3 linked regions of the Ovis aries genome follow. The protein of the gene in region 3 interacts with the protein of the main gene of each other region in a biochemical or structural test. Links are inferred from orthologs where the notes say so. Each region holds a gene or a part of one and is shown on either strand. Other genes may lie near its edges. The genes, in order: CAMK2G, PRKACA and RRAD.

Region 1 (9,579 bases), on a different chromosome or scaffold from region 3:
TGTGTGTGGTCTTCATGGGGAAGGGCAAGTGCCCATGACTCCCTGTCTGCGCAGAGGCATGGGTGCCTGCCCTTTTTGCCCTTCTGGGCTCGGGGCCGTGGGGGCGGGGTGTGTAGGTCTGGAATCAGGGTCCTGGGGAGGACAGCCAGGTGCCAGGACTATCCCTGTTAGCACGGTGCCTGCTGCCCTGTTAGTGCCTCCTGCTGCTGCTGTTAGTCACCTCCCTAATGAAGCTCATCTGTAGCTTCTGGGACAGCTGATTTCCAGGGGATTATTTGTATTACACACTTTAATGCGTTTTAATAGCAAATTTTTAATTAAATGGAAAGTCCTTTTGGAAGCAAGGGAGCAGCAGCTGCAGCAGGGCTCAGCGTGAGCCACCCATTCCGGCCAGAGAAGGCAAGTCAGGAACGAGGGCGGCAGGGCTTTGGGGGAGCTCGCCTGAGCGCGCCTGGGTTAGTGAGGGGGAGCGGGGAGGCAGGGGTCTGGCTGTAGCTTCTTCATTCTGTCACCCACAGGCCTAGAGAAGTAGGAGCTTGCTTGTTCGCCCAAGTACAGGAGAGAATCATTTGAGGAGGAGGGGTTTTAGGAGTACCACCCGCCTTTGATTCCATTGGTAAATCGCAGAAGTACTGAGTTCTGGTGGAATTTTGAGGTTGAGTAACCAGATCAGATCTAATAACGTCGGCAGGATGAAGCATAAACAATTGCTGGGCCCTGGTTCTCGCCCTGGCAGGCCCGAGTCCTCATCTGTCGAGTGAGGAAAAGCACAGGGCTCCAGTGATGGCTGAGGGCCTGGATTTTACATTCAGCTCATCTTGCTGTGGGGCACAGGGGAGGCAGGGAAGTGCCTCAGTCCTGAGGAGACACCCTCGTACTGGAAATGAAAGGTATCTTTTGAGCTGGTGGGGGCCTGACACACTAGAGATTTCTTTGTATCTAAGAACTTCACTGGTCGGTTTGGTGTCAGGCCACTCCTGAAGTGCTCCGTGAGGAGCTCCTGGAACTGCGTGAAGGTCAAACAGAGGGAGCCCTTTGGGACACAGGCTCTCCATGAGTGCAGGTGAGGGAAGGGACCAAGCAGGAGTGTTGATCAGAGCAGAGGTGCGTTTGCATTAGAATGATGCTGAGGGGGGTGTTGGCATTTTAACCCCCTGAGGTGGCTTTGTGGGCAGAAGCTTAAAGAGGAGACCTCAGCAGCATCAGGTTGGGCTCTTGCCCAGGAGCTCTGGAGGCTGTGAGTGGGAAGAGATTCTGCTCACCAGCCTTTTCTTTCGCCTTTACTGCAGCTCCATGCAGTAGCCTCCCGTCCCCATCTTGTGGGCACATTCGTGAGCGGTTTCTCTCCAGGCTCCACTGCTTTGTCGCCTGGGTGTGTGGGCTCCTCCACATTTCTTGTAGGAGACAGTGGTATAAACCAGTCTTTGGAGTCAGAAAGAGCTGGGTTCACATCTGGACCCACCAGATCTTTGGCCTTTGGCAAGAAACTCTATGCCTTTGAGCCTCCATTGTCCTCATCTGTGGAATGGGAGAAATACTTATCTCAGAGTGGTCATCAGGAATAATAAACTCCTTGAAGTAGACACTATGTCCTTCCTAAATCCTACCATCTACCACACACAGTCAGCACTCGATACATACTTGTAGCTTAAGTAATGTACGCAAAGAGCCTAACTCAAGGCCTGGCACGAAGTCAGCACTTAATAAATGGTTATTGTCATTGCCTGAATCCGTGTGTTGCCTGCTGGGCTGTGCCTTTGCCGCTTCTTCCCCTGCCCCTAATTCTTCTGCTCCCATTTACTCCAGGGTCTCCCCTCCTGTCATTCTCTGTCCCTCTGAGGTCTGCATCCCTAGGTGCTTCTTGCTCTGCACATCACCCTTACACGTCACATCCCAGGACCACCTTCACTGGGACCAGCCCCTCTTGGAAGAAGGTTCCTGCTTTTCTCCATCCTGCCTTACTTCTTAGCCACAAAGCTTCTGTCTCTCGCCTACATCTGAGGCAGTCTGAGATGGCGACCCGAGCCCTGGCCCTGGGGTCTGGTCATCTCTGCTCTGTGGCCGCATCTTGGACCCAGGGATGCTGGGCATCTGCCTCTTCTTGGGAAAGAGCCAGTGGGGCTGACAGGATGGGACAGGGCTGGGGTGGCCAAGGAGGAGAGGAGCAGGCTTTCCAGGTTTTCTCTCTGTTAATCTCTGTCCCCATCTCCTCTCTTGCAGTACGCCTCCATGACAGTATTTCTGAAGAAGGGTTTCACTACCTCGTGTTTGACCTGTAAGTGCCACTTTCTGAGGGTGTGGGGGTCTTTCCCTCCAGCCGGCTCAAGAGGAAGGCTGGGAAAAAAAGCCCTACACTGGGTCTTCAGCCTCTGCCAAGGGTCCCTCTCCTTTGCTCGTGGCTGCTGCTAAGTCACTTCAGTCGTGTCTGACTCTGTGAGACCCCATAGACGGCAGCCCACCAGGCTCCCCTGTCCCTGGGATTCTCCAGGCAAGAACACTGGAGTGGGTTGCCATTTCCTTTTCCAGTGCATGAAAATGAAAGGTGAAAGTAAAGTCGCTCAGTCGTGCCCGTGGAGAGGGGTTTGATTTTGACCATCCGCTCGGAATGAGCAGATTGCCGAGGGTCTCCTTGCTCACTCAGTGTTTCCCCAGGGCTCTGACCCTGGGGTGGCATTGCTCTTGCACTTTCTGTTCTGCAGCACACCTTGTGCAGATGCTTTTCCCCCCTTGTTTCTCAGTGTGTTGTCCTTAGTGGAGATACACAACGTAGCTCTTTGCCTGACCTTAAGAATTCTGGGAAATTGAAGGCACCTTTTATTAGTTAGTTGTAAACTGGGCTCCCATTGGTCTCTCCCACTCTGGTTGTGGTTTAATGTCTTAAAAGTGGTTCTTCACCTAATGGAAATGCCTCTCTGGTATTTTCAGGGTTGGGTCTCTGTGTCCTTGGTCTCACTGTTCTTCAACTTCAGTAGTAAGTCAGTCCTTCTTGGGCAGCTGGATCTTAGTATTCATTGGTCTCAAATAAAGCTAAGACTGTTTGAGTAAGTCAGTTATTTTCTCTTAACTGCCTGTACATTCATCTCTACCAGAGTATTAGGTAATCTACAAATTATAGACACAGAAATGTGCAGGGGGTGGGGAGGGCTCCCATTGTCCCAGGAAGAAGCTCCATTTCATTGAAGGATTGGTGTGTTCTGAGCTTGCAGACGAAGCACACGTAGAGTTGCCACGTCTGTAAAAGCCGCTGTGCAGTGTGGCTGTTGGTTGCTTGTTGGATGCTGCCTCCTCTGACCCTCTTTGTTGGTTGCAGTGTTACCGGCGGAGAGCTGTTTGAAGACATTGTGGCCAGGGAATACTACAGTGAAGCCGATGCCAGGTGAGATGAGGCCCTGAGGTGTAAGTGTGCCTCTTAACCATCTTAGGGGGCAGGGCATTGTGCCTGTTGGAACCGTCTTTGGGAGCGGTCAGAAGAGCTCTTACCTGGACAAAGATTCTGTAGGGTTGGATTCAGGCTACATTCCGTGGGCATGCTTAGAAGTTAATAATTCAGCACTCCCAGGTCAGTTTTCTGCAAAGCTCTTACAAATCTCTTTCACCCTGTCACACCAGAAATGCCTTTCCTTTGCCCCACTGTATACTCATGAGGGCCCTCCCCTATCTCCACTTTCTCCTTCTGACAAATTCTACTGCATACAAGGCATCCTGGGAATGATCCAGAGATGGGGAAAACATGGTTTGTGTCCCAAAGGAGTGTAAACGTCTGGGTTAATAATCCAACCAGGGAACCTCCTGGGAGATTTCAGCCACTATCACCTTGTGTCTCGACCACTAGGACCAGCTTTTCAGGTTGGAAAACCATTCCTCGGCCACACCCCTCAGCCCCCAGCCCTCTGAGAAACCCTGGCAGCTTCTCCACATGACACAGCAGAATTCCTCCCACACCACAGCTCTTGGGCACTTGTTTGGCCTGCCTTTCCTGCCCCGGCTCCTCCCCCACCCCAGATCTTTTCTGAGGGTGATGTCCTGACAACCTGATTTTGGGTGTCCTGCCTGCAGCCTTCTCAGGCATATGTGCCAGCTCTGGCTGCCTCTGGGGGCGTGGAGGGGGAAACAGCTTCCTCACAGATTTCTCAACCCTCAGAGGCCAACGTTCGCTGATCAGCTTCAGATGCTTCAGCCTCAGGAAAAATTCTCAAGTGGGAGATGAATTCCAGTGCCAGCAGGGGAGGACCAGGCTCTGGGGCGGTGGGGGGGAGGAGGCGGTGATAGCTCAGGGAGCCTGGCGGGGAGGAGGGGGAGCTGGGGCGGGTGACGGTACCAGTGGGCTTGGCCTGGCTCTGCTGGGACACTTCGCACTTTTGCCATTTTTGGCCAGAAGGCTCTCCCTGCTAGCTTGGCTCTGTTCTAATTATATATTTCTGTGGAGACTCGCCTCTTCAGCTCAGTCTTAAAGACTCTTCGGCCTACTCTTGGACCATGTCCTTATGGGGAGGCCTAAGCCTCAGCCTCCAGGAACCCAGCGAGACACTTTGGCTCTTGTGGAAGCCCCAGCCTCAGATTTCAGAGGAAGGAATACTGTCAGTCCAGGTTACTGACGTTCGGGCCGGATCATTTTTGGTCGTGAGGGCCCCTGTTGTGCGTTATAGGTTTAGAAGCATCCCTGGCCTCTATCTGCTAGATGCCAGTAGCACCCTCCCTCTCAGTGGTGACAACCAGCAGTGTCTCCAGGTGTTGCCAGATGTCCCCTGGGGGGCCGAAATCATCCTCTGGTTTTCTCCAGTGCCCTGGACTCCTGGTGCACTCCACTGGGAGTTGACCACAGGTGTGGAGGATGGTTTGGAAGGTGGGTGGCCTTTGAGAATTTGAGAATCAGCAGCCGAATGTGACTCTAGGCTGGTGTGTCTTTTCCTGTGCAAAAGCATGATGAGAAATGCTCCTTGGGGTGCCTCTTTGAAACTCTCTTAAGTGTCTTGTTTCTCGATGATGCCTGTGTACTCATTTCTCTCCCCTGCTAGATGATAAACTTCAGGGCAGGCACTGGGTCCCCTATACAGCTGGTGTGATACCCAGCCCAGTGCTTATAGGTGCTTGATAAATGTTTCCCTACCCCCAAAACAACTTGGGCTTGGTTGGACTATCCTTCCTTAGTTGCCACCACAAGCCTCTTCTCCAAGAACACAGTTACTATAGGGGGAAAGAGGAAGGAGGAAGGGGTTGGATGGTGTCTCTTTCTCAGGAGTCTGAGGTATTCTTCCTTGGAAACAAATTGGATATGTTGAGCCTTCACAATCTAAGGAGGCTTGGTGGACCCTGTTCTAGTCTGTCCTCTGCTGTTATCTAGTGGAAGACCCTGGACAAACCACTTAGTCTGCTTGGGCCTCAGTTTCCTCTTTGGTAAAGTAGGTTGAACAGATGGTGTCCAAAGTCCGAGGTTTTAGCTCCTCATTCAGTGATTCTGTGTGAATCCGTTAGCCAGAGTTAAGTGCTTTAGTCTACAGCATGTCGTCGTGGATGGTTTTACCCTGCACTGACCTTTCTTTTCGTGCTTTTGCAGCCACTGTATACATCAGATTCTGGAGAGTGTTAACCACATCCACCAGCATGACATCGTCCACCGGGACCTGAAGGTACTTTTCTGCCCGGCTCCCCTCTGCCTCTTGTTTGTGAACCACTGGCGCCACCTGGCGCCAGATGATAGTACTGCATGGTCCCAAGCTAAGCTCCCTTTGGGCTGTGGGATTGGTGCCTCACGAGGCTCTCTGTCTTCCTTATACAGCCTGAGAACCTGCTGCTGGCGAGTAAATGCAAGGGTGCTGCTGTCAAGCTGGCTGATTTTGGCCTAGCCATCGAAGTACAGGGAGAGCAACAGGCTTGGTTTGGTAAGAGTGACCCTGTCTTCCTGGAATGCAGCTCCCGCCCTTCCTCCTCTTCCTGATCTGCCTTCCTCTTTCAGAACTACAGGCCAGACCCTTAATGGTCCTGGCCTCCTCAGAGACTGGAGGAAGGGCGGGCACAGAGTTCCCCCTGGCCCTCCGTGACTCAGTACAGTGAGACTAGCTGCTGTCAGCACTGCGTTTTTGCTGCCTCCGGGGACAATGGAAGTTCCTTTAAGGCACATGTATTCGCCCTCTGGTTTAGATTCCGGGCACTGCAAGAAGCCCAGCCCGTCGTCTCTTGCTGCCCAGGTGCTGAGAGCTTATGTAGCCAAATCAACAGGAGTAAGAAGGGACTTGGGGAAAACTGCTGATGTGGATTTAATGAGAGAGAAAGTGGGTTCAGTGTGCCTCCGCTCTCTCTTCCGCTACAGGTTTTGCTGGCACCCCAGGTTACTTGTCCCCTGAGGTCTTGAGGAAAGATCCCTATGGAAAACCTGTGGATATCTGGGCCTGCGGTAAGCCCATTCCACACACTCAGCTTTTTGGTGTTAAGGGCGCTCAGCTTCCAGCGATGACAAGAAACAGGCATTGCTATTCCCTGCGGGTCCCACAGGCATCTGGTATATGTGAAGTCACAGCATTTGCTCTGGTGTCCCCCGGGATGGCTGTTCCCTTCACAACCTCCTCCCCAGCTTCCTAGAAGATGATGTCTCCTTCTCAAAAGAGGGATTTACCCATGCCTTAGTGGGTGGGTTGTGCCTGAAGAAATCCCAGACATGGCGTGGTTATGTGGGGTGTGAAGCACAGTGGCACAGCATTGTCGGCTGCCATCCACCTCTCTCTCTGGGATGGTCCTTGACTTTCTGGGTGGCTCGGAGCCCCATGTGGCTTTTCTTGGTTCTTCAGCAAAGCAGGTGACTGACCCCAGTGACCTGTGTTCTGTCTTGTAGGGGTCATCCTGTATATCCTCCTGGTGGGCTACCCTCCTTTCTGGGATGAGGATCAGCACAAGCTGTATCAGCAGATCAAGGCTGGAGCCTATGATGTAAGGACAAGTTTGTTCCTGCCCCACTGTCTAGGGGAAGGGGGTGTGCTGAGTGTGTTGCAGGGTGTGGGGAGTTAGGGATTTTGAGGACCATATAGGCCTCAATTCTTGTCACCACCTGTCCCAGGGAGCAACTTTTTTGCACAGCCATTGTTGGTGGCTGCAGAATCAGGGAGTCTACTAAAGCCCTTTGTTCTGTTATTTGCAAAGAATGGTGTGGCTGTGTAGTGTGCCGTGTGACATAGAGATGAGAAGTATGGCGGCTCCTCCCACTGCGGTGGGGCCTTGGGCACAGTGTTGAGCAGCAGGTTCCTCCTTGTAGGGAGATGGAGTTGAACCAGATGTCAGGGTCCCCTGATATGATATTCTGGCATTCTAACCATGATTGTTCTGTTTTTCTTTCCCAATCTTTAAGTTGACTCCTGGGATACCCAGTGCTTAGCCCACTTCATGCTAGGCAGCTTTCGATAGTTAACCCTGGTTACAGGGGGTATAAGGTGCACAGATTTTATATCCCTCCTTCTCCTGTTCCCACTTCTTAGTTCCCATCACCAGAGTGGGACACAGTGACTCCAGAAGCCAAGAACTTGATCAACCAGATGCTGACCATAAACCCTGCAAAGCGTATTACAGCTGACCAGGCTCTCAAGCACCCATGGGTCTGCGTAAGTGTCTTCTCCTGAGGTCAAGGAGATCCAGGATATCAGCTCTCAATGTGCTCATAGCACTGTCTTTACCCTCCTTCTTGTGACTAGAGAATAATCACGTGGGGCCTTGAGCTAAGACGGTGCAGAGGGGACAGGGGACTGGGTGGAGCCCAGGGGCAGCAAATGTCACCAAGAGAAGCCAGGGAAGCTATTGTGACTAACTGACCTCTCCCTGACCTTCCCCACTCATTTGGCAGGTATGACTTAGTTTTGCTGTTGAATGAGGGCTTAGGTTGACCCTTGCAGACTCTAGTTGATGACAGAAAGCAACCAGCAGAACTCAAAAGTAAATTGCCATGCCTAGAGTGCATATCCAGATTCCAAATAAGACAACTCTAATGGGAAGGTGACGAGACCCAACAAATAAACAAAAGGGGCCTGTGAGCAATGAAAAAGAGCTCCTGAAGTTCAGTCACAAAGCTCATCCTAGAAGAGCCCCCAGGCTATCGATGTGGGTCATCATCATGCTCTGTTTTTGTGTAAGCTTCTATCTGGCTGCAATATCTTTTTTCAAACAGGGTCTGCTATAGTCAGGCCTCCTGACAACCATGATGCATGTATTCATTTGTTCTTTTCCATGTTTACTGAATGCCTCTTTGGTGCTGGTCCCTGTGTGCTGGAGATACAAAGATGAATAAGGCCTGCTGCCTTCCCCCACAGATCTCAGAGATGATCTGGGGAGACAGGCACTCAAGCAGGCAACCAGTCTGCAATGTGACAAGTACGTAAAAAAAACCTAACGAGTGTATAGGAGCCCCTGCCATCTCTGGTGGGCAGTGGGATTGCTGAAGGTGTGGAGGAGGTGAGCTCTGTCCTGGTTCTTAGTAGATTACTGGAAGTTCCCCAGGATGATAACCTGCAGACTGAGCTTAGCACGGGCTAAGGTGAGAGGCCATGGGGAATTACGGCAAGATTAAGGAATGTTAAGCAGTTTGGTTGTAGATGAAGGTAAGGCTGCAGGAATATAAGAGAACGAAGCCAAAAACGATTCCAGTGACATACAAGTTTCTGCCTAAGGAGTTTCGGTGTTACTCTAAAAGCGTAGGGAACCATTTAAGAGTTTCAAAGAGGGAATGAAATACGCAATTAAGAAAGATCGCTTTGGAAGCTGTGTAGAAAATGGAATTGAAGAGGCAGGGGCAGAGAGAGCTAAGGAAGCTGTTGTGGTTGTCTAAGCAAGGCCAGACAACGTTTCAGCTGAGGGTAATGATAGGATAGGTGGTGTGGCAAGGAGTGGACACATTTGAGAGACAAAATAAGAAGGACTCTGTGACCAACTGGATTTGGAAAGTGAAGGTCTTTTGAGAGAGAGATCTGTGGGAATTGCCAGGTTTTGAGTTGGTAACTGAGTTGGAGGGTTGTACCATTCACTGACCCAGAGGAAACCTAGAGGAGGAACCCTTTTATGAGAAAAGATGATGATTTTAGTTTCATACATGTTAAGTATGAGGGCCTCCAGCTGGAGATATCTCGTGGGGAGTTAGAAGTATGGAGAAGTTAAAAATCAGAAATACAGGTTGTGGTCATTTCTGTATGGATGGTGTTGGGGCTATAGAAATAGATGGGATTGGTTCTCTGCTAGTTGACTCCTTACTGTGAGCTGTTGTAAGAGAAGATACGGCCACCAGCATTTAGTGGCCCGGAGAGGAGCCAGCAAAGGGGGCTGCGAATGAGAATGTCCATGGCGGGAGGAAGATCAGGAGATCCTAAGAAACATGAGGTCTCAGGAAGGGAGGGTCTGTAATCAGATGCTTCAGAAAGTCCATGATAAAGATGGAAGAGAGCCTGTTGGCTGTGACCAATTAAAACCATTGTTTCATTATTTCACTGAAAGAGGCAGTGGAGGCAGAGAGACCAGTGATACTGCTTAGAGAAGATGGATGAGTCGGGAATTTTTAAAATCTTGCAATTGATTATATTGTGTTGACTGCAGAGAAGAATATGATGCAGA
Region 2 (10,210 bases), on a different chromosome or scaffold from region 3:
CAGGCCTCCCGGAGAGCATTAGGAAGGCCACATGGAGGACTTTGGGGCCATCAGCTATATCCAGGCCAGACTCGGCCCCCAGGAAGGAAGGGGCTTCTGGTCTTTCCTAGCCCTGGCCCAGAGGGTCATCTCCCCTCTACTGCCCAGGCCTGAAAGAACCTGGTACTTCAGTTCTTAATTCTTTCTGTCTTGTGTCCTTTCTCTCTTCTACACACACTATATATTCCACCTGCGGGCCATTGTGCCACCGTCATCCCAGGAGTGCCACTGACCCAAAACTTTTCCCACAGACCTCCCTGGCCTGCCTTGAGGCTTTCTTGGTCAATGCCTGGCAAGGCTCCAACCCTGCTGGGCCAAAGGCTCTGCCATTCATTTCCCTTCCCAACCATCTGAGCAGAGCCACCCAGCTGCCTGGAGTCCCAGGCCAGGAGTCTTGGTAGAAGATAGACTCGGACACAATTTCTGTCCTTTTGCCAGGATGATTTTTTAAGACTTTTCAATTCAGCAGCCCTCTGGAAAACTCTGTTCCCAAAAAGGTGATCAGCAGGATGCTGAGGTAGATGGCTGACTCTCCTTTGGGTCACAGCCACCTTCCTCTTGCCTCCCAACTGGATCTGGCTTTCCCTGGAGGCTGCCCCTTGGAGACGGTGGTGCGTTGGAGGGGCCTGCTGTTCTGTCTCAATATTGGTGTCAGGACTCCTCTGCTTCTGGCTGCCTTGGTCTGCACTCTGCCAAGACCTCATGTTCTCAGGCCACAGTGCAGACCAGGGGAGCAGTAGGGACCCTGAAAGCCCTCCTTCCCCTGCCATGCTCCTCACCCTCACCCCTGTTCCCGCGCTGCTACGTGGATGCTGTTGTGATTGCAGTTTGTGTATTAAAGGGTTTTTATATTAAATGTTTGGTTGATCTGAAAATAAAAAGCACTTCATCTAGATTCTTTCTGCTTTTGTCTCCAGTAGGCTGAGGCGGTTTTGTCTCTCTCTCCTCATGATGGGGGCAGTGGGGGGGGCCCTCTTGCCTCAACCAGTAGGTTGACTGCCCCTTTCTCTCTTACTCGCTTCTTTTTATTGTCTTGTCATAGTTTTATTCCAGACTGAGGTCCAGGAAGATTCTTTTGTCAAAACTTAAGCAACCCAGCTGTTCTGTAGATAGAGCATAACCAGTGATTGTTCAGACTTGTCATGACCTTGACCCACCAGAAGAAATTAGCATTGCTCTCTGAGGACCCACATATCAATACGTGTATTAAATTTTACTTAAACTTACTTTGTAACTCCACATCCCCAGGTGAAGTGGTGAGCCATTTCCCCATAATTCACAGGAAAACCCAGACTTCTCTCCTTGAAACGAAGGTGGACTTAGGAACATGGGTCTAGATGGCTCCTGGGTGGGGTGTACAGGTCATACCAGTCCAGGCTCAGAGCAGCCAGCTGGCTTGTAGAACTGAGACCAGTCAGCCTCCCCAAGCTGAGGGAGGCTAGCTCATCCAGTTCCCTGCCCCTGGCATCACTTCCTGTTTGGGCTTTCCTCTACCTCAGTGGTTTCAACTGGGCAGCAGTTTTGCACCCAGCCAGGGCACATTTAACAATGTCTAGAGATGGTTTTGGTGGCAGGTGGCACTAGTGATAAAAGAACCTGCCTGCCAATGCAGGAGACTTAAGAGATGAGGGTTCAATCTCTCCCTTAGGAAGATCCCCTGGAGAAGGAAATGGCAACACACTCCAATATTCTTGCCTGGAGGATCCCATGGACAGAGGAGCCTGAAGGGCTCCAGTCGATGAGATTGCACAGAGATGGACACGACTGAAGCGGCTCAGCATGGCAGAGATGGTTTTAGCTGTCACAAGTAGCAGAAGAAAAGCAGGCTCTACTGGCATGGTGAGGGGGGTGGGGGGCGGCGGGATACTGCTGAACACTCTACAATGTACAAGGCAGTGCCCCACCCCCAGCCCAGCATAGACTGAGCCAGACCCGAATGTCACAAACGTGGCGGTGGGAAACTGACCGTCCTCACTCTGTCTGTATTTAAAGGCGACCCTGAAGGAAGAGGGGCTTTCCAGGTGGTAAAGGATCTGCCTGCCTTTGGAGGACACACAAAAGACGCAGGTTCAGTCCCTGGGTTGGGAAGATTCCCCTGGCAGAGGAAATGGCAACCCACTCCAGTATTCTTACCTGGATAATCCCATGAACAGAGGCGCCTGATGGGCTACATTCCATGGGGTCACAAAGTCGGACACGACTAATTATGCACGCACGCACGCTGAAGGAAGAGGCATCTTGCTACTCTGTTTCAGGAGATAAGGTTCCTTTTGCACTGCCCAGAGGGAATCCTCAACCTGGCTGTGCCCCAGATTCCTCATCTGTAAAATGGGAATGATGATAATAATACCTACGTGAAAGGAGTGTGGTGCGAAGTAATGTATGTAACAAGTGCCAGCTCTTACTGGCATGAGGCCAGGGTAGGCACCCAGCAAAGAGGTGTCTACTGAGGGCCCCACTCCCAGAGCCCAGCATCCTCCTGAAGCTCCTCCAGCAGGGTCCCATCCTGGACCCAACCCTGCTGCTGCTATCCTGCGCCAGGCCTTATGAATGACGACGGCCGGCAGCCCGACGACCTATGACCCGCGGCGCCTGCCGCGCCCCTCCCCCGCTTGGCAGGTGGACAGCGGCTGCGCCGGGGCTGGGGTTGGGGGGGCCGAGGCGCCAACCTTGGCTGGCCCGCAGCCGCTGCCGCACTGAACGGGGGCGGGGGACTGCGGCGCGCACGGGGCCGGGCGAACGCCTGCCTGGACCGCCTCCTGGGCCTCGGAGCGCTGCGCGGCCGCCGGCCAGCGGCCGCCGGCGCGCCGGGGCAGCAGACTGCGCCTCCGCCCCGCCCTCTCACCCAGGGATTGACACTGAACGTTCTGCCGGGGCTTGCCGGACAGCGCGCCTCCACCAATTGGTATCCTCGCTGGGCGGACCCCGGACCCTGTCGGAAGCCTCCGCCAATCAGACGTGTTAGCCCGCCCGGTTGGGGTCTCGCAAGCGCTCGAGTGGCCAAGCGTCCTAGGAGCGCGTCATGAGGCCGAGAGCCTATGGCAGCGCGGGAGGGTCGCGAAGGGCCAATGAATGGCGGCGCAGCGCCGTCAGTCAGGGCGGCCTAGGCCAATGAGCTGCGGGCTGCGGGGGCGTCACGGACAGCAGCAGCGGACTTGGGCTGAGGTTCCCGGGCGGGCGGGCGCGGAGAGACGCGGGAAGCAGGGGCTGGGCGGGGGTCGCGGCGCCTCAGCCAGCGCAGCCAACCCGAGGGGCCGCCGCCGCCGCCGCCCAGCGTGCTCCGGGGCCGCGGGCCGCCTCCAGCACCCGCCGCGCCGCAGCTCCGGGACCGGCCCCGGCCGCCGCCGCCGCCGCGATGGGCAACGCCGCCGCCGCCAAGAAGGGCAGTGAGCAAGAGAGCGGTGAGTGCCCGGGCCGTGACCCCGATCCCGGCCTCGCGCTGCCAGCCTCCTCCCTGTCCATCACTGCTTGGCCCCTCCCCCCACGCCCCCCCCCATTTCTCTCTGCTTACCCCCAGGCGCCCCTTCCCCCTGCCTGTCCAAGGTTGGGGCCCGGGGCCCGCAGAAGACCTCGTAGGAACCCCGTTGCCAAAAACCGCCCCTCCACTGCAAAGACTGTGCTCCCCCCTCAGCTGTCACTGCCAACCATGGCACGTATGACCGCTGGGCCCCCACATGGGGCCCTATCACCACCCCACTCCGTACTTTCCTGGCCCCTCTCCTTAGGTTCTAATCCCCCCCCACTTCCTCACTCACCTCTTCCACAGATGAGACTCACTGCCAAACCCCGACCCAGGCTTCTGCCAGCCTGGGAGTGCTATGGGGTCTGCCTCCGCCCAACAGGGACCTTGGCCACTTGGTGACCACACCCCTACCCCCTCCAGCCCCCGCCATCTTTCTCCTGCCCTTCCCCTCTTCACCTTATCACAGCCCCTCTTCAAACCCACCCTTGAGCATTTCCCAGAGCCACTTCCAGCATTGTTTTTCCCTTCTGTGTCACTTGGCATGGGGGACAGGCTCTTTCTGGGTCCCTCTGCCCCTCTCTCATCCTGTCACTGTCACTGCTTCTCTGCTTGTGCTTCCTTCTCCAAGCAAGCGTCTGTCCCTGGCCGGGGTCGCACACTGTTTGTGAACCTAGAGAACTGCTTCTGTGCTTGCGAAGCCAGGTTTGAGCCAATCGTGCTGGAACTCCATGCGTCCTCTTCCTTGGCTTTGGGGGTGAGGGGTTTCAGCAGAGAGCCCCTTCCCATCTCCTGCTGTGCAGTGAGCTCTAGGCTCTTTGGAGGGCCCCTCAATAAATGGTTGTGTCACAACTGAGGCTTGATCATTCACCCAGTCCCTCAGGCTTCTTTACCTGCTCCTGGCTTGGGATGAAAAGTAGGGGATTAAGAGTGAGTTTACCAGGGCTCATTCAGCTAGAGCTGGGATGGTGAGAAAGAGGACTCAAGGGATGACAGTTAGGAAGAGTAGTGGGTGACATCTAATGACTCGCTTTGCCAAGAGACAGATTCTGATCATCCCCAGGGTTCACCCAGAGGTGGCCCTGTTTCCACCTTAAGCCCCCAAATCATATAGGCCTTTTCCAGCCAGCCAGGGAAAGAGATTCTGTACCTGGAAATGCCTTCAGAAATGGTCTTGAGCTCCTTCCTCAAGTCATCCAGCTCTCAAATTGTCATCACTCCAGCCCTAAAGTTGGGCCTCAACTAGGATCCTTTTCCAGTTACCCAGAAATAGAGTTGAAAAGGAATGGCCACATCCAAATATGCCTTTCCCAGTTATTTGTCTCAGATCCCAGTGTCTGAGTTCCCTGAATGCTCCCTCCCAGAAAGACCCAAGCATGGAAGCCAGGGAACTTTATTTCCACCCAGATTCAAATAGCAGAACTTATAGCTGCTGAGCAGCCATGGAGAAGCCTGACATGTCACTGATGGGCGGGGGAAAGGGAGGCAAGTGCCTGTAGCTGAGCGCTTGATGACAGAGGAGCAGGTGGGTAGTGACCAAAAATGGTCTGGGCATGAGCTTGGAGGGGATAGACAGAAGGGGAGGGGCTGGGCCCCCAGCAGGTGAGGCCCGCCCAGAGGTAGAAGGTAGAAGCAGGCAGTTGTATATTTCAGTGACTCAGTTGAAAGTTGGGGAGGTGCCATAGTCCTGGAAAACTTTCAAGGCGTATCAAACACATGCAGTGGAGAGAGGTGGGGTGGCAAAGCCACACAGGGAAAAGGATTCCCAAGAAAAAGATCAGAAGCTCCAGAAGGAACCGCTAATTCAGAGTACAGGCTGGACAGCCAGGAAGGGACTATCAGGATAAAATAGAGCCACTATTTACTGGGCAGCTAGGATGTGCCAGGCTAAATGGTCTTCATAGATCTTTCTGCTCAAGTGATTTTTCATAACAGGCTGTTACCTGAATTTTACAAATGAGCTCTCTGAGTTTGACATAGATGATGCCACAGAAGCAGGATTCACATCCATTTCCATCTACCAGCCAAATTCCTGGACCCCAGAATTTCCCAACTCAAAGCTGCCCCCCTGATTTTTCACTATATTCACTTCTATTTTGTTAACGGAAATAAAAATTTTGACTCACTTTTGTTCAGATGTAAGTTTTGATCTGTCCTGAGAAATAATATAAATGAAATCATGGGATTGCTATACCAGTTATATTCTCTCTGGTACACCTTAAGATACAGTGTAACTAGAAAGGCAAAATATCCTTAACATCAGTTCGTCCCCAGCCAGTGGGACCTGGTTACACTTTGGGAAACACCCTAAGCTGTACTTCCTTCCAGAGATTTGCAGGGGCTGTTGGAGAAGGAGACAGGATGAGTAAAGAAGCCCTTTTTTGCTTCAAAGCTCCTATTCTGAGAGGATGGAGTTAGGCAAAATTTGCCCTCTCCCGCAACTAGGATGGGGTGGGGGTAGGGATAGTAGCCAGGCCAGCCTTCAGGGGGCACCTGAATTTCATCTGCCAGACATCAGCCCAACTAGAGTAAGGAAAGTGCCAAACCTTAGTAGGCACCATTTGGCATCCTGGAGCCCCCTGTGCTGCCGTCTCCATGCTCGGGCAGGACAGCCTTGGCCTCCTCTCAAGAGGGCAGGAATTTAGAACCAGCCCGGGGATGGGGTGGGGGAAAGTGTTAGTCACTTATGTCAGACTCTTTGCCGTTCCATCGACTGTAGCCCGCCAGGTTCCTCTGTCCATGGGATTCTCCAGGCAAGAATGTGGGAGTGGGTAGCCATTCCCTTCTCCAGGGGATCTTCCCGACCCAGGGATCGAACCCGGGTCTCCTGCATTGCACGCAGATTCTTTATCATCTGCGCCACTAAGGAAGGGGGAAATCTGTACTCAAAGATGCCAGAGCCACTGGCAGTAGCCTGAGTATGATGCTAAGAGGGCAGAGGAAAAACAAGAGCAAGCCCAGGGCTCTGAACAAGCTAGAGGAATTGAGAGAGGGCAGTGGCCCCAAGAGGCCCTGGGGACGGGTGCCAACTGGGGGTCCAGCCTTGGCTGCCCTGGCCAAAAAGGTACTCCTAAGAGCTGGTCCATGGAAGAAGGTACAGGACTGGTAAGAGGAAGCCCTCCAGACCTCCCCCAACCCCTACCCCAGGTCCCAGAGACCAGAAGATTCATGCTCTGAGAATGAGAATTGCCCCCAAGAGGTCCATGCTGCTGCTGCTAAGTCGCTGCAGTGGTGTCCGACCCTGTGCGACCCCATAGACGGCAGCCCACGAGGCTCCCCCCATCCCTGGGATTCTCCAGGCAAGAACACGGGAGTGGGTTGCCATTTCCTTCTCCAATGTATGAAAGTGAAAAGTGAAAGTGAAGTCGCTCAGTCATATCCGACTCTTAGCAACCCCATGGACTGCGGCCCACTAGGCTCCTCCATCCATGGGATTTTCCAGGCAAGAGTGCTGGAGTGGGGTGCCATTGCCTTCTCCGCAAGAGGTCCATAGATGGGAAGAATTGTGGCCTTCATGACATACTACAGAAGCCTGAGAGGGCCAAACACCGTCTGTGCGTTGGCAGTTGTACAGGTGCCCAAGAGGGTCCTGCCAAGACAGTTTTTCCTTTAAGTCCACCTGGGCTTAAAGAAGCTTGAGGGTTCTCTGCCCCTCCCCTGCACCTACTGGCCCCCAGGTTGGGTTTCTTTTCCTGCCACTACCCCAATACTCCCTGGCTCCCCCTATAGGCAGGGCTCTGGTGATGAGCAGCTAAGCTGGTGCAGCAGGTCTCATGAGCCTTCCCAGCCACCGTAGTCCGGGTGCTTTGAGAGGAAGACTGAGTGATGGCTTCCAACCCCAACGATGGTGAGGCTGAGCCCTGTTGCTATAGCAACTTCCCAGGCACACTCTGACCCTCAAGTCAAGGAGGGATTACAGTAGAGTTTAGGGAGCAAGTGGAGAGGAAAAGGCTGTGGACCCCTGACTGGCCCTGGAAACCCTTCCTAACCACCCTGAGTGGAGATGGGTGGTTTAATTCAGACAAGGGGGTGGGGGGTGGGGTGGATGATCCACCCAGAGTGGGGATCTGACCCAGACCCAGGCAATGGGGTAGACCAGCTCAGTGATGGCATTCAGCTCAGAGTGGGGGGTTGGTCCAGCTCAGTGATGGAGTCCAGGTGGTACTAGGCAGTGGTCCAGTCCACTGTTGAGGTCCAACTCAGACTAGGGGGTGGCTCAGCCTAGGGCTTGGCCTTCCTGTCGCAGACTTTCCAGGAGGAGTCAGTTTCAGGGAACAGGGGATCCTGAGATTTTTTTTGGGGGGGAGGAGGTCTGAGCCTGGGATCCTGCCTCCTGCTGGGGCCCTGGGGGCTGTTTTCCCTGTGAGCCCAAATGGAATCTAGACCAGGGTGGAAGCTGGTACCCCTCCTGTGGGAAACAGGAGCAGGCCAGGCCTACCGTCTCCAAAGACAGCAGCTAGCTGGGTTTCCCTTCTCTGCCACTTCCTGTTGTCAGCAGGGGCCGAGGTTGCCGGGCACTCCCGGGAATAAGTAGCTGCCACTGACCCTGCACTTACTTTTGGGGATCTGGAAAGAAGGAGGAAGATGGTCAAAGCTGCCTCCCCCTCCCCCACCCCTGGGTTTAGCGTTTCGTTTCCGGTTTGGACTTTCAGGGCTGAGAGCAGAGCCAAGCACAGGGCAAGGTTTGACAGAGGCCAAGGACATCCCGGGATGCCATGCCCCTCTCCGCCCCTGCACAGGAGCAGGGCTGAGTTAGTGTTACCCATTCCTCTCTCAAAGTAGCCAAATTTGAGGGCTCTAGCTTCAAAGAGCACTTGGGGGAGGAGATAGGGTGTTTCTCACTGCCCCCCCCCCCCACTCCGCCTTTCTCTCCAGCTGCTCTTTCAGCTAATTAATGGAGTTCTGGGGCCTCCTTGACCCCCAGGGAGGCCCTGGCTGCTGCCTGGGCCTGAGCCTTAACTCCTTCCCCTCCCCAGTGGGCACTGCCCTGGGCACATTGGATGCCATCCTCTGGGCAGTCTAGCACCCACTGAGAAAGGCAGGGCCTGGCAGTGGGGAGCAGTGAAGTCCCTGGAACAGGAAGTTAGCTTTAGCACCCCGCCCCCAGGGCAGGCAGGCCAGCCAGGAGGGACACCCTCAGGAGACTCTTCCCACCACCTGTTGCCAAGGAGGGCCTTTACCAACCTTGGCCAGCTGGGAGCAGGTACCTTTAAATGCTTCCCTAGCAACCAGCTCCTCCTCCCCTGTCCACCCCCACCCCGAGGCCCTCCCAAGAAAGTCAGCTCAGAGACTCTGCTGTATTCCTGGTTTCCCTGCAAAGGGAACGTTCCTGGGAGAGTCAGGGCGGCCTGGGATGGATCCGGGGTCAGGCAGAGGCTGGGATGGGGACTCAGAGACCACCTTCCAGCTGTGGCTGCAGCTGCTTCTCTGGGGCCATCTGATTGTCCGCTTCCTGGGTTACCTGCGCCATACCCTCTGGGCACCTAAGCCGCAACCAGCACCTTGAGCCTCCCTGGCCACGGGCAGATGGGCCCCTGAGCACCCCATCCCACTCCACTCCCTGCCCTTGTACCCTCTGCTGGAAGAGGCAGGAAGCAGAGGTAAGTATGGGGACTCCTGGCTGGGTTTTCCCCCCATCATTATTCCTCTTTATCTGCCCTCTCTTCCTGCCACTGCCACACCCTGTCCCTCACCCCCAAATCTGGCAAGCTGATGAGAGCGCGCACAGCCTGGTCCCTCCCGCACTTTGGAAAGGCCGGAGCAGGGCTGTCAGGATCAAGGCATCCTTGTGGAGCCTCTTAGGGGGGTAACAACAGACAGAGACGCCGACCCACCACGTTGGGAAAAAACAGGATGTGGCATTTCTCAGGGACAACTGAGAGGAAAAGAAGAAGCAGGACCTGCTTTTCTCCTGGATTCCTCTCAAATGCACTCCTCTCTGCCTTCTTGGGTGGGTGACGGTAGAGTCCCAAGAGGGTACTTCACCCCCCTGCCCCCCTGCCCACCTTCATCCAGAATTCAGCGTGTACGTTTGGAGGTTTCCAAGGAAGGTGTCGTATGTCAAGAAAGATTCCGCTAGTGAAACCCTTGCAAGCGGTGCAGCCCCCAAGCTCAGAGAGTTCTCAGACAAGTTGTTGGCTCAGCCAGGCATACCAAGCGAGGACCCTCGGCCATTCCTGACTGCCCCCTCTCTGCCTGGTCATTCTTCATAGGGCTTTCCTGGCCAACTATTTCTTCTCCATCTGCCACTCTTGTGCCCCCCCCCCCCCCCAGAAGGCTCTTCTCTTGGAACAGGGAGGGAGAGTCTTAGGATTGATGGGGGGAGGGGTGTGGCTACCCACAAGGCTGTGGGCATTCCTGGCACTGCCTACGGGTGAGATAGGCAAATGACAGGCAAAACCAAAGTGCAAGTGTACAGGACCCTCTCAGGGTGGCGCCCGTCCCAGGGACATCAGGGTTGAGGATAGCTCTGTCCATGGGCCACCCTGGTGCCCTGTGACCCGTCAGAAACAAAGCACTTAATCTCGTGGGTGTGAGAGACTGTCTGGAAAGTGATCAGAAGCCAGTCTTCTCATCTGTCCAATGAGAGTAATAGCAGCTCTGAGCCATCAGTGTAGGAATTAACCGTGGAAAGCATTGAGTGTGTCACAGAGCTGACACACAGAGAGGGTCCCTGAACAGCAGCACAGCTGGCCCCAGGTGGGCCATTGC
Region 3 (10,259 bases):
CTGGCCAGGCCGAACTGGGTAGAACAGGGCAGGGCGGACACTTGAGCAGGTAGGCGGGCCAGCCACACTTGCTCAGGAGTGGAAAACACCCCTGGGCCCACAGCAGCAGGCCTGACCCTGCCCAGCCCCTCAAGTTACTCATTGACTTTGAAAAGTTGGAGGCTGCTCGGCATCCATGACCGCCAACCCCAGGAGGTGGGGAGATCTTCGACCTGGCGCTTGTCCCACCCCTACACAGCTCAGTGGATACTTCTCGGCCCCCTGGATTTGGACATGACCCTTTTTCCAGTGGCTCCAGACTTGCTCCCACTTCTCCCCCTTATGCACCAGTGTCTGCAGCTCCACCTTGGTCCACGCTGTTCCTTTTTCCTGGAATGCCCTTCTCACTCCTTCATCTGTCTTCTGATCACCTGCTCAGGCTTCAGCACTCAGCTCAAATAGTCCTTGCTCCCAGGAAAGCTCCCCTGGGCTCCCAGGTTTGTTCGGGGCTCTCCCATGGTGATACTTCATTCCTACCCATGCCCCCATGCCATAGAGATAGTGCTATCTCTATCAACACGAGGAGGGCACCAGCTTGTTCCATCAGACTCAGAGGGCCTCCGGGGCAAGACTCAGGGACCCAGTAATTAATGACCTGGTCCTTGCCTGGCCCTGGCAGCTCCCAACTGACTTGTGGAACTAAGATAAGGAGCTGGAGGTGCCATGTGCAGGATAGGGGAGTGGTGCATGACCTGAACCAGATATTCGGAGCTCCAGACCACCCACCAGTGTGACCAGTGGGCAGGGGTAGGAGGATAGCAGCCCATGAGAACCCCTGAGGCTCCCTAGGTGCTCACACTAGCCCCTGGACACAGACAGGGCTGGGACAATGGACTGTCTCGTGCCTTTGAGAGGAGAGAGGAGTTTGAGCCAGTTCAGGTGACCTTGAGGGAGTTGCAGGGCTGACGGGAGGCCCTTCCCCCACTGGTGTAGCCTAGAAGAGTCGGGAGAAGCTCCTAGGGCCTGAGTGTGTGGAGTGGTGGGAAGAGGATGGGAAAGGTCAAGGATCTTGGTCTCCAATCTTTCCTGTGGTTTCCCTGGAGTCCTTCCCATTGCATATCTGGTTAATTTCTCTCAGGCTAGAAGGCTGGATCAGGACCCCTCAGCTGACCCCAACTTTGTCCATCACAAGCTGAGTTCCTGCCTCCAGGTCACTTGGGCACCCCAGCCTGGAGCAGTGCAGCGTGGGAATGTTGAAAGGGTCTCACGTCACATGAGAGGGGTCTCCAGCTATGTGCCTGGCACTACTCTAAGCAGATATTGTCATTATTCCACCCATTCCATTCTGAAAAGGGCATCGTGCCCATGTCACATACTGGAGCACAGAGAAGTTGACTGACTTGCCCAGGGTCACACAGCCAATAAGTGACAGAGCTCGGAAGGTCTGGAATCTTCTTCAGGCCTCAGCACTTTCACCTGCTCTGAGGAAACCATGCCCGCCTTTGCCTTGGTGAAGTACGCTGAGACTGGGAGCGGGACTGCAGCTTTGAGCTGCCCTGGGGGGCATGTGGGTTAGTCACGGGGATCACACGCCTGAGGAACGGCTTTCAAACCTCCACCTGCTATTGAACAACCGCAGTCAGAGTTCTCACCAAGTTCTGAGGGCTCCCAGGAGCCCTGAAAAAATTGACTAATATAGAAATATCTGGATCCCGGCCTGGAACCTTCTCAGAAACCATCCCCAGCCTTGCCCCTGCCTGCCTCTGGGCTCCCAGTCCCCACTCAGCCACTTCTGCCCGTGGGGCCCCAGGTAAGTGCTTTGTCCCCCATCTGCCATTGTTGAATGGGAATGCTCACTCCTGAAACCATGATGGTAAATCCAAGCAGGCACTTGTGCCCAGAAGGCTCCCCTTCCAAGGTGCGGGCGGTGGGGAGATACACACCTCCACCTATCAGCAAAGATGCACACGTTTACACGAGAATGCAAGGCCTCTCATTCCAGGCAAGGAGGGCCCCAGGGACCTGCTCCTACATTAGGCAATGCCGAACATGGAGTCCTCTGGTGTGGCCACTCTGTGGGGAGAATGGCCCTCCCTGTCCCCCCACCACTTCCTGCCTAGCAACCCAGCCTCTGCCAGGAGGTGGGAAGCCACACTGAGTCAAGTCCCCCGAGCATGCCTTTCTTGTGCATGCACGTGTGCTGTCGCTTCAGTCGTGTTCGACCTTTGTAACCCTGTAAACTGTAGCCCGTCAGGCTCCTCTGTTCACGGGATTCTCCAGGCAAGAATACTGGAGTGGGTTGCCATGCTCTCCTCCAGGGGATCTTCCCCACCCAGGGATCAAACTGGCATCTCCTGTAGCTCCTGCATTGCAGGCAGATTCATTACCACTGAGCCACTGGGGAGGTCCTGTGCCTTCCTCACCCCAGCCTTAACAAACCAGCTGCCTCCTTCTCCAGCCAGGGAGTCTCGGAAGTCTTCCTCAGTCACACCACCTTAGCAGCTTTCCAGCCTCTCAGGAGGGATCAGGGCAGAGACAACCACCCAGGAGCCAGACCCGACCCAGCAATCTTGTTTGGCCATGACACCCGGGGACAGAACGTGTCTCTTGGGCAGCCTCAATTTCCTTTACATACAGTATGTGTTAGTCACTCAGTAATGTCCGAATCTTTGCAACCCTTTGAATGGGAATGCTCACTCCTGAAACCATGATGGTAAATCCAAGCAGGCACTTGTGCCCAGAAGGCTCCCCTTCCCCTGGCGGACTGTAGCCCGCCAGGCTCCTCTGTCCATGGGATTCTCCAGGCAAGGATACTGGTATGGATTTGCAGTGATTGAACCCTTGATCAGCTGGGCAATGCCAGGCCCCAGTACAGAAGAATCTAAATAATAGGTTGGGTGAGATTCATGTCTCTTCCTGCTGCTTGGACCCCCACCCCCCACCCTGTTACCCCTGCAACCAGACCACAATCCACACCTGCCCCTTCTTAACATTAGAATAGTTAAGGCCACAAACTGCGGTGGGGCAGTGAGCCCCCTTCCTGAACTTAAGGAAACTTTCCTGTTCCTACAGCCCCCAGAATCAAAGGAAACACAGAGTCACCAGCCCTGGCCTATTGGGAAATAGTCTTTATTACAAAAATCTGCATGTAAACAAATAGCCACTGCACTGAACAGCCTCCCTCCAGGGCATGCACACCAGGGTGTAGGGAAAGGCAGAGTCCTCTCCCCACTCACAGGCCTGTCCCCAAGGGCTGGCTGGGGTCAGCCTGCTGCTTGGGATGCACACGGGCCAGCACAGGCATCTCAGTGGGCCCAGCAGAGATGGGCCCAACAGCCACTGGGAGCCGCCTCCCTGGGCAGCACTGTCTGTCTGTCTGTCCATGACCGTGAGGTGGGGGACACCCAGAGTCTGAGCCAGCTCTGAGGCACCTTGGGCGGTTGGCTGGGCCAGCCCACCAATCAGCCCATCTGTCTGCACAATACAGCAAGTGCCCCAGGGTCTAGAGCACAGACAGGTCATGGCAGGACTTGGACTTGGCACGCATGGCCATCTTGCGGCTGTTTCGAGCGACGATGCGGCCCAGGAAGCGCTTCGCCTTCTTGCCCAGGCTCTCTCGCCGCCGGGTACCCGCTTGACGACGCGCATTGGCCTCTTTGCTGTCCCTGCGCAGGCGTATCTGACGCACAACACCCTCGAACAGCGCCTGGACGTTGTGATGCAGCGCAGCCGACGTCTCGATGAACTTGCAGTCAAAGACAACGGCGCAGGCCCGGCCCTCTGGTATGTGTGGCAGGGGTGGAGGGTGGGGGACAGGCACACATCAGTAAGCAAAAGGTGAGTGGGTGAGAAGCCCACTCCAACCCTGGCCACACCTTGGCAGCTATCCGTGGGGAAGGGGAAGGGAGTCCTGGATCCTCCCCAGGAACACAATGAACCCCGGCTCGTGTATGGAGGGGCCCAGGCATCACTGGGTCACCCAGCTGTAAAGCTTGCCCATGCTTAAGGAGCTCACAGAGGCCCACACAAGGAGACTCATTTATCAAAATAATTTGGAGTTTGATATTTAAACAGTAGTGCTGTAGTAGTCAATGCAGAAAAATGACAACTTTGTTGGACAGCATGGTGTTTTATGGCTTGCCGTTATATCATGATGAATGACGGGGAATGGGGGGAGGACATCATCAAGTCACTGCTGGTTCTTCTGTGGGGTTCAGGTCTGGGGGGTCACAAAGGATGCTGAGCCCAATGTTGGGGGACGGGTTCTTTCCAGGGTCAAGACTATGCAGAAACTGGACTGGGCCTGGAATCCAGGCTCTGGCCTCCCGGCCTGAGTCCCTGAACTCTCCTCACCCCTCATCAGCCAGGCCAGGGACAAAGAGGACAAAAAAGGAGGGCTCTGAAATGGTCTAGCAGCTTTTATCTCCTCTTGTGCATCTGGTCCCTTCCCCAGCACTCAGGACTCGGGAGACCTGTGGGAGGGCATAAGCTCTCCCATCTCTCTGAGTTTTCTTCCTGGACATTTTTAGCCACTGATGATCCCCAGTGACTCGAGCTGAGTCAAGACTGAGTGGACCACAGCGAAGCCAGGATCTCCCTCCCTTTCCAACCCAGCTCCCTGCTCACCATCCAAGGAGACCTCGCGAGAGCGCACCAGGTCGCTCTTGTTGCCCACTAGGATGATGGGCACGTCGTCGGTCTGCCGCGCCCGCCGAAGCTGGACCCGCAGCTCTGAGGCCTTCTCGAAGCTTCCCTTGTCAGTCACTGAGTACACAATGACATATGCATCTCCCATGGCCAGGCAGTGTCCGGGTAGCCAGCGACCCCCATCCTAGGGGACACAGACACATTTACCCAATCGTCCTCACGCCCCAGCTACAACGCTGTCATTCCCAGCAGGTCCCTACCCCCAGCTCACCCCTCTCACCCAGCCCTGGGTCTCAGCCTGAATCCTACCTGCTCCCAAATGTCATAGACCATGAGTGACGCCTCTTCTCCGTCCACCATGATGGAGCGGTCATATGTGTGCCCTGGGCAGGAGACCAGTAGTCAGGTTAGTTGTTGGCTGCCACAACCCGCCCCCCCCTCAATGCATCAGGTGTCCTATTCTGGCTACACCCTTCAACTCCTCCCCAAAGCCCCCCAACCTTCTCCTCCACCGATAGATGCTAAATAGTAACAGAAATGACAGGGCTGAGAAATGCGGGGGGGGGGGGGGGCAGGTGAAGGGCATGATGTGCCAGGCCCCCACCTAGCTACCCCTTCCCCAAGCTAACAATGTCCTGGGTGGCCATTCCTGGGCTCCCTGCCCTTCTGTTCCCTGAGACCCAGGATAGTTTTGATCACAGTGGCCCGAGTTAGAACAGACAGCCCCTGGGGACCTTGGTTACCTAGGACTCCTCTCCTAGACTCTCCTGGTTGTGTTCTCCCGGGTCCTGGCAGGGAGGGCTATCCTGTCCTCACACTACAGAACAATTAAACATATTACCTGGGTCTTCTACTGCAAGCACTTCTTTCCCTACTAAAGGCTAGGTTACCTTCCCCCTTAGTTTCCCCATCTGTGAAAGGAGGAGGCAGACGCGATTCTCAAAGCACCTTCAGAATTCCGTTGGTATTTGCTGCTTTTAACCCTGATCCCCAGTCCTGCAGCCCCCAGTCCTAATCCTGTGTTCGCCCCTCCCTCGAACAGTCCCTCCCAGTCCCTCACCTGCGGCTTCAGCTTCAGGCCCGTCCTCTACACCTCCGAAGATGCGCGCCAGAGCGCTCTTGCCCACACCAGGCGCCCCCAGCAGCAGCACCTTGTAAACGCTCTCGTCTGAATCGCTTCCTCCCGAGCTGAGCGAGTCGGAGGAGCCCTCGGGCCAGTCCAGCCTCGGACCCTGGGCCCCTGTCGCGGCTTCGGCCGTTGTCAGAGCGCCCGGAGACAGCGCCGCCTGCAGGTCGCGCTCGTCCACCGGCATGCTCCGGCGGTGCAGCGGGAGCGCGGGGCCCCAAGGTGTGCTGCCCCGACGGCGATCGCGTTCCCGGCCCCCGCCGCGGTTCCCGTTGGCTCCGCTGCCGCCGCCGTTCAGAGTCATCCCGTCGGACGCCGTCTGGGGAACGGGAATCCGGATAGCCGCGTAAGCCGCGGTGGACATGGAGTAGGAGGCTGGACCCGGGACACGCCTGCCTGACCACGGGTCAGGAAAGGTGCTCGGGGTATAGGACCTGCCGCGGAAGGTCTTTGCGCCCTGACAAGTGACCCACTCTCCTGGCTCGTCCATCTCAGACGGTGAGACCACCCCCACCCCGCTCTGCCAGGACACTCACCCACTCAGACACGGTGAGGACTAGGTAGGTACCAGGCTCGGATACAGTCCACCCGTAGACCCAGGCGCGAACACTCGACCAGTCGCAGCCGCCGCCTTCTCAGTCGGTTCTGGGCTCAGGCGCCAGAGTTGCCTATTTAAGCCTCTGCCCGCCCCCGCCCCCCCCCCCCCCCCCCCCCGCGCTCGCCCCCGTCTGTGCGGTGCGGGGGCTGACGTGTCCGTCTCCCTCCCCCGAGGGGAATCCCCCACCCTCCTCCTAGGACCTCACACCCACCCAGCCCTCGCCTCACTCTCTAGGGCGGGGCTGGGGCAGACCCCGAAGACAAAAGCCCAGTCTGAGTGTGTGTGTGTGTGTGTGTGTGTGTGTGACAGAGAGAGAGAGAGAGAGAGAGAGAGAGAGAGAATTGGGGGTGGGTGGAGGGCAGGTAAAGAAGAAGGAGAGGGCGTCTGTGAGTGGTACGAGGAGGAGGGGGACAGAGGTGGAGTGGAGAGCGCCATCACGGGTTGGGGGGCGGGCAAGGCCGGAAGGAGCCCCATCAGCCCAGTGGGCCAAGTCCCCACTAGGAAAGACTTAGGTCTGGCCCTTTAAAAGTGATTTCTCCCTTCCCTCTCTCCCAGTCCTGGCCTGTTGCCCAAGCAAGCAGACCAGTTACAGGTCCACAGACTTCACCCTTCACTGCCCATGACACCCATTTATTTTGGGGCCCTAAATCCAAGCTTCTAACCTCAACCCCAGGTCCTTCCCACTCTCAAACCTGCCCTTGGGAGTTGACGATTCTACCTGATGAGCCTGCCCTTTGAGATGAGGGTTAGTGATACCTAAGCCCCCAAGGGGACCCTTAGAGGCCTGTGGGGAAGGGGTGGGGAAGCGAGGCCCTCTGGCAGTGTGGGGCAGGTAGAGGTGCAAGCTTGAACCTTGAAGAGGGAATGTGGGCCCAGAGAAGGAAAAGGATGGACTCAGCACCGCCTCCCCCTCAGCACCCTCCAGGCAGCTGCCAGCAACTCTGCTAAAAATACCTGCTCATTGGGCTCCTGGCCTGGAGGTTGCCCAAAGTTAGGGAAATCCTGGCAGGCAGGTGTCAGAGACCAGCAGGAGCGGATAGGGGTGGGACTAGACCGGATCAGGTCTGGTTCCAGTCATTCTGAGTCTTCAATGTCTCCTTCCTTCCCTTTAGTCTCAGACTGGGCCTATAATTCAAGGCATACTTGGGGTCTGGAGGTTCATAGTTATAGAGCATGGATGGGATCGGGCTTCCCAGGTGGCTCAGTGATAAAGAATCCGCCTACAATTCAGGAAGAACCCTAGGGATTGGGAAGAAGGAACTGGTAACCTGCTCCAGTATCCTTCCCTGGGAAATCTCATGGACAGAAGAGCCTGGTGGGCTATAGTCCATGAGGTCGCAAAGAGTTGGACACGACTTAGCCACTGAGTGTGCAGGCACACATGGATGGGGTCAGGCGGTTGGGAATGGGATAGCCACCATTTGGTGCCACCACTGCCCCTCCTCAGACCCAGGGAGGATGCTGGGGCACAGAGGGGAGGAGATGTAATGGAGAGACTTGGTTTCTAGTCCTAAATCTGTCCCCAGGGTCCTAGGTTTTGCTTCTCTCCCAGCTTCTATTATTCTATCCCAGCCCCTCTATTATTGCCTTGCTCATGTTTGGGGTGTGTGAGGACCGGGGGCAGGCAAGCTGTGAGGTACTTTGTGGTAGGGACCTCCTATTAGACTGACGTTTGATTGCGAGGGGTGTGATGGGGGTGGGGGGCACCCATTCAGGGCTCAGGTGACATCACGAATGGATGGATCCTAGTGGGCTGCTGTAGGTTGTCATGGAGACCGGGGTCAGGGCTCTCTGGCTGCTGCGTCAGTTTCCTTGGCAACATCTGAAATGGCCTTGGAATGAGCAGGGTCTGGTTAGGTAAGTGTTAGAGAGCTCACGCAGGCCCCTCTAGTTCTTGACGTCCTCAAAGCAAGCAAGGCCTGAACTGAGGGGTGGTCTATCCATTTGTGTCCTTCACATGGCTTGGGGGGTCTTGGAGGACTGGGCAACCCCATGTTGCCTCTAGCTTCCTGGACCAGGTCCAGTGGGAAGACGGAGTCATGGGCTGAGCCTCCTGTCGAAGAACAAAAGTCTTGGGACTTCCCTGGTGGTCCAGTGGTTAAGACTCTGCACTTCCAACGCAGGGGGCATGGGTTTGATCTTTGGTCAGGGAACTAAGATCCCACCATGCCATGCAGTGTAGCCAAAACAAACAAACAAACAACAGAAGTCCCAAGAGCCAGCAAACCACTTTCCGTCAGGAGTCCCAGCTGGGCTGCTCACGGCCCCTCCTAACCACCTTACACATGACCTTGCTGCTGACAAGAGCCCCTGGATGTCCAACAGAGGGTGGGTGTTGGGGGGGTAGCTGTGGTCATGTAAGGAATTAGGGCTGGGTTTCCCCTCTGATAATCTAAGCTCTTGACCTCAGCAGTGTTTCCTCATTGCCAAGGGAACTGCATCCACACTGGGCCACTCAGGCCCCAAGCATTCCCCAACATGCATCAGTATGGCCAGGGGCCCCAGGAACCATACCAGGACATGCCCTTGAAACACCCCCAATTCTCCGTCATCTCAGTTCTCTGGGCTGAGCTTGGCTGCCTAAGAAGAACAGACCGACGCAAGAACACCCTCAGGATAGCCTGCCCTTCAAATCCCACCTCTGCCCATTTAGTTTGGCTGAGCCTCAGTTCCCTCCTGTGTAGAACAGGAATAATGCCTACATGACGGTGGTTATAAGATATGAATAATCTGAGGACTTCCCTGGTGGTCCAGTGGTTAAGACCATGCTTCCAATGCAGGGAGTACAGTTTCGATCCCTGGTTGGAGAACTAAGACCCCACCTGCTGTATGGTGCAGCCAAAAAAGAAAAAAAAAGGTATAAATAACATGAAATTCAGAGGTAAACTGGTTGGCATGTGTCTGGCATATAGTATTATCGATATCTCAGTATGAACACTTCTATTATCGCCCTTGGTTGGACAGGACAGGCTGAGCGGCTCTGTCGGCCCTCTCCTGCTGCTTCTCTCCTGCTCCTGCTCCATTCTGTCCACAACAGTGGTCTGCCCAGGACAGCAGCAGGTACAGATACTTCTCCCCTCTCCCCACTACTCACATGTTCTCTGTGGGACCCTATGCCCTTCCCCTTCCTGGGAGAGCAAAATGCTGCAAAGGGAACTTGGCTGGATTTCAGTGTCCCCACCCCTCCTCACACCACAGCTCTCATGCCCCAGTTCCTCTGTTCTGTTCTAAGGCCCAATTCATTCACTCATTTCACTGACCTGTACTAAGTACCTAACTGTATGCCAGGCCTTTGCGCTTTGGGCAGGATGATGAGCAAAAATGGACAGACCTGGGCATGTTCATATGTGTCCTCTAATCCTTGGGTTGGTCTCACTTAGCTATGATTTGTTGTTCCCATTTTGTAGACGTGGTAACCGAGGCCTGAGAAGTCATAGGCCAGAAACAGCACAGCCAGACACACCTGGCGGAGGGCTTCAGGGACCTGAAACTTCATTCCCCCACCTCACCCCCCCCACCCCACCCCCCATCCCCATGTTCGCAGATAGCAGCTGGGATTCCAGAAAGTTACTCAGGCACTAGTCCAGTATTCACAAATGGTGTCACTGCAGGCAGCTGGGGGCCAGGCCCAGATGAGTCAAAACTGAAAAGGGGATATCTGATATGCCGGCTGGCTGGATGTGAGCAGCTTGGTGTCCCTCATCCACTGTGGCCTGGCTGCCAGGAGGGCCAGCTGAATGACTCAGTGACACCTGTCTCCCCTGTGACCCCCCCACCCCCAGCTGAACAGAGACACCACAGATCTTAGACAGATCCGGGCTGTCACTGCAGAGGTACACAGGCAGTGAAATCTACAGCTGGGTACTGGTGGTTGGGAAGCCTCCTTGGGGCCTGAGGGACTCTGGGAGG

Evidence for each region.
Region 1: of the proteins of RRAD (region 3) and CAMK2G, one has a biochemical effect on the other in vitro, tested with the Homo sapiens proteins (2 studies listed by BioGRID, with this or other methods). The link is inferred for Ovis aries from reciprocal best matches to the Homo sapiens genes RRAD and CAMK2G.
Region 2: of the proteins of RRAD (region 3) and PRKACA, one has a biochemical effect on the other in vitro, tested with the Homo sapiens proteins (2 studies listed by BioGRID). The link is inferred for Ovis aries from reciprocal best matches to the Homo sapiens genes RRAD and PRKACA.

Annotation. Positions count from the first base shown.
Region 1 is NC_056078.1:28,951,167-28,960,745, reverse strand, and holds part of CAMK2G (calcium/calmodulin-dependent protein kinase type II subunit gamma), read left to right. Parts: intron 1-2,220; coding exon 2,221-2,275; intron 2,276-3,310; coding exon 3,311-3,376; intron 3,377-5,554; coding exon 5,555-5,627; intron 5,628-5,776; coding exon 5,777-5,879; intron 5,880-6,307; coding exon 6,308-6,391; intron 6,392-6,826; coding exon 6,827-6,921; intron 6,922-7,463; coding exon 7,464-7,586; intron 7,587-9,579.
Region 2 is NC_056058.1:9,911,626-9,921,835, forward strand, and holds the start of PRKACA (cAMP-dependent protein kinase catalytic subunit alpha), read left to right. Parts: upstream 1-3,384; 5' UTR 3,385-3,394; coding exon 3,395-3,440; exon of another isoform or gene 3,441-7,324; coding exon of another isoform or gene 7,325-7,346; intron 7,347-8,796; exon of another isoform or gene 8,797-8,852; coding exon of another isoform or gene 8,853-9,005; exon of another isoform or gene 9,006-9,099; intron 9,100-10,210. Other genes in the region: SMIM46 (small integral membrane protein 46), read left to right, coding at 8,853-9,005.
Region 3 is NC_056067.1:34,191,095-34,201,353, forward strand, and holds RRAD (GTP-binding protein RAD), read right to left. Parts: upstream 6,400-10,259; 5' UTR 6,289-6,399; intron 6,072-6,288; 5' UTR 6,057-6,071; coding exon 5,687-6,056; intron 5,010-5,686; coding exon 4,936-5,009; intron 4,811-4,935; coding exon 4,606-4,810; intron 3,760-4,605; coding exon 3,482-3,759; 3' UTR 3,090-3,481; downstream 1-3,089. UniProt on the Homo sapiens protein: May regulate basal voltage-dependent L-type Ca(2+) currents and be required for beta-adrenergic augmentation of Ca(2+) influx in cardiomyocytes, thereby regulating increases in heart rate and contractile force.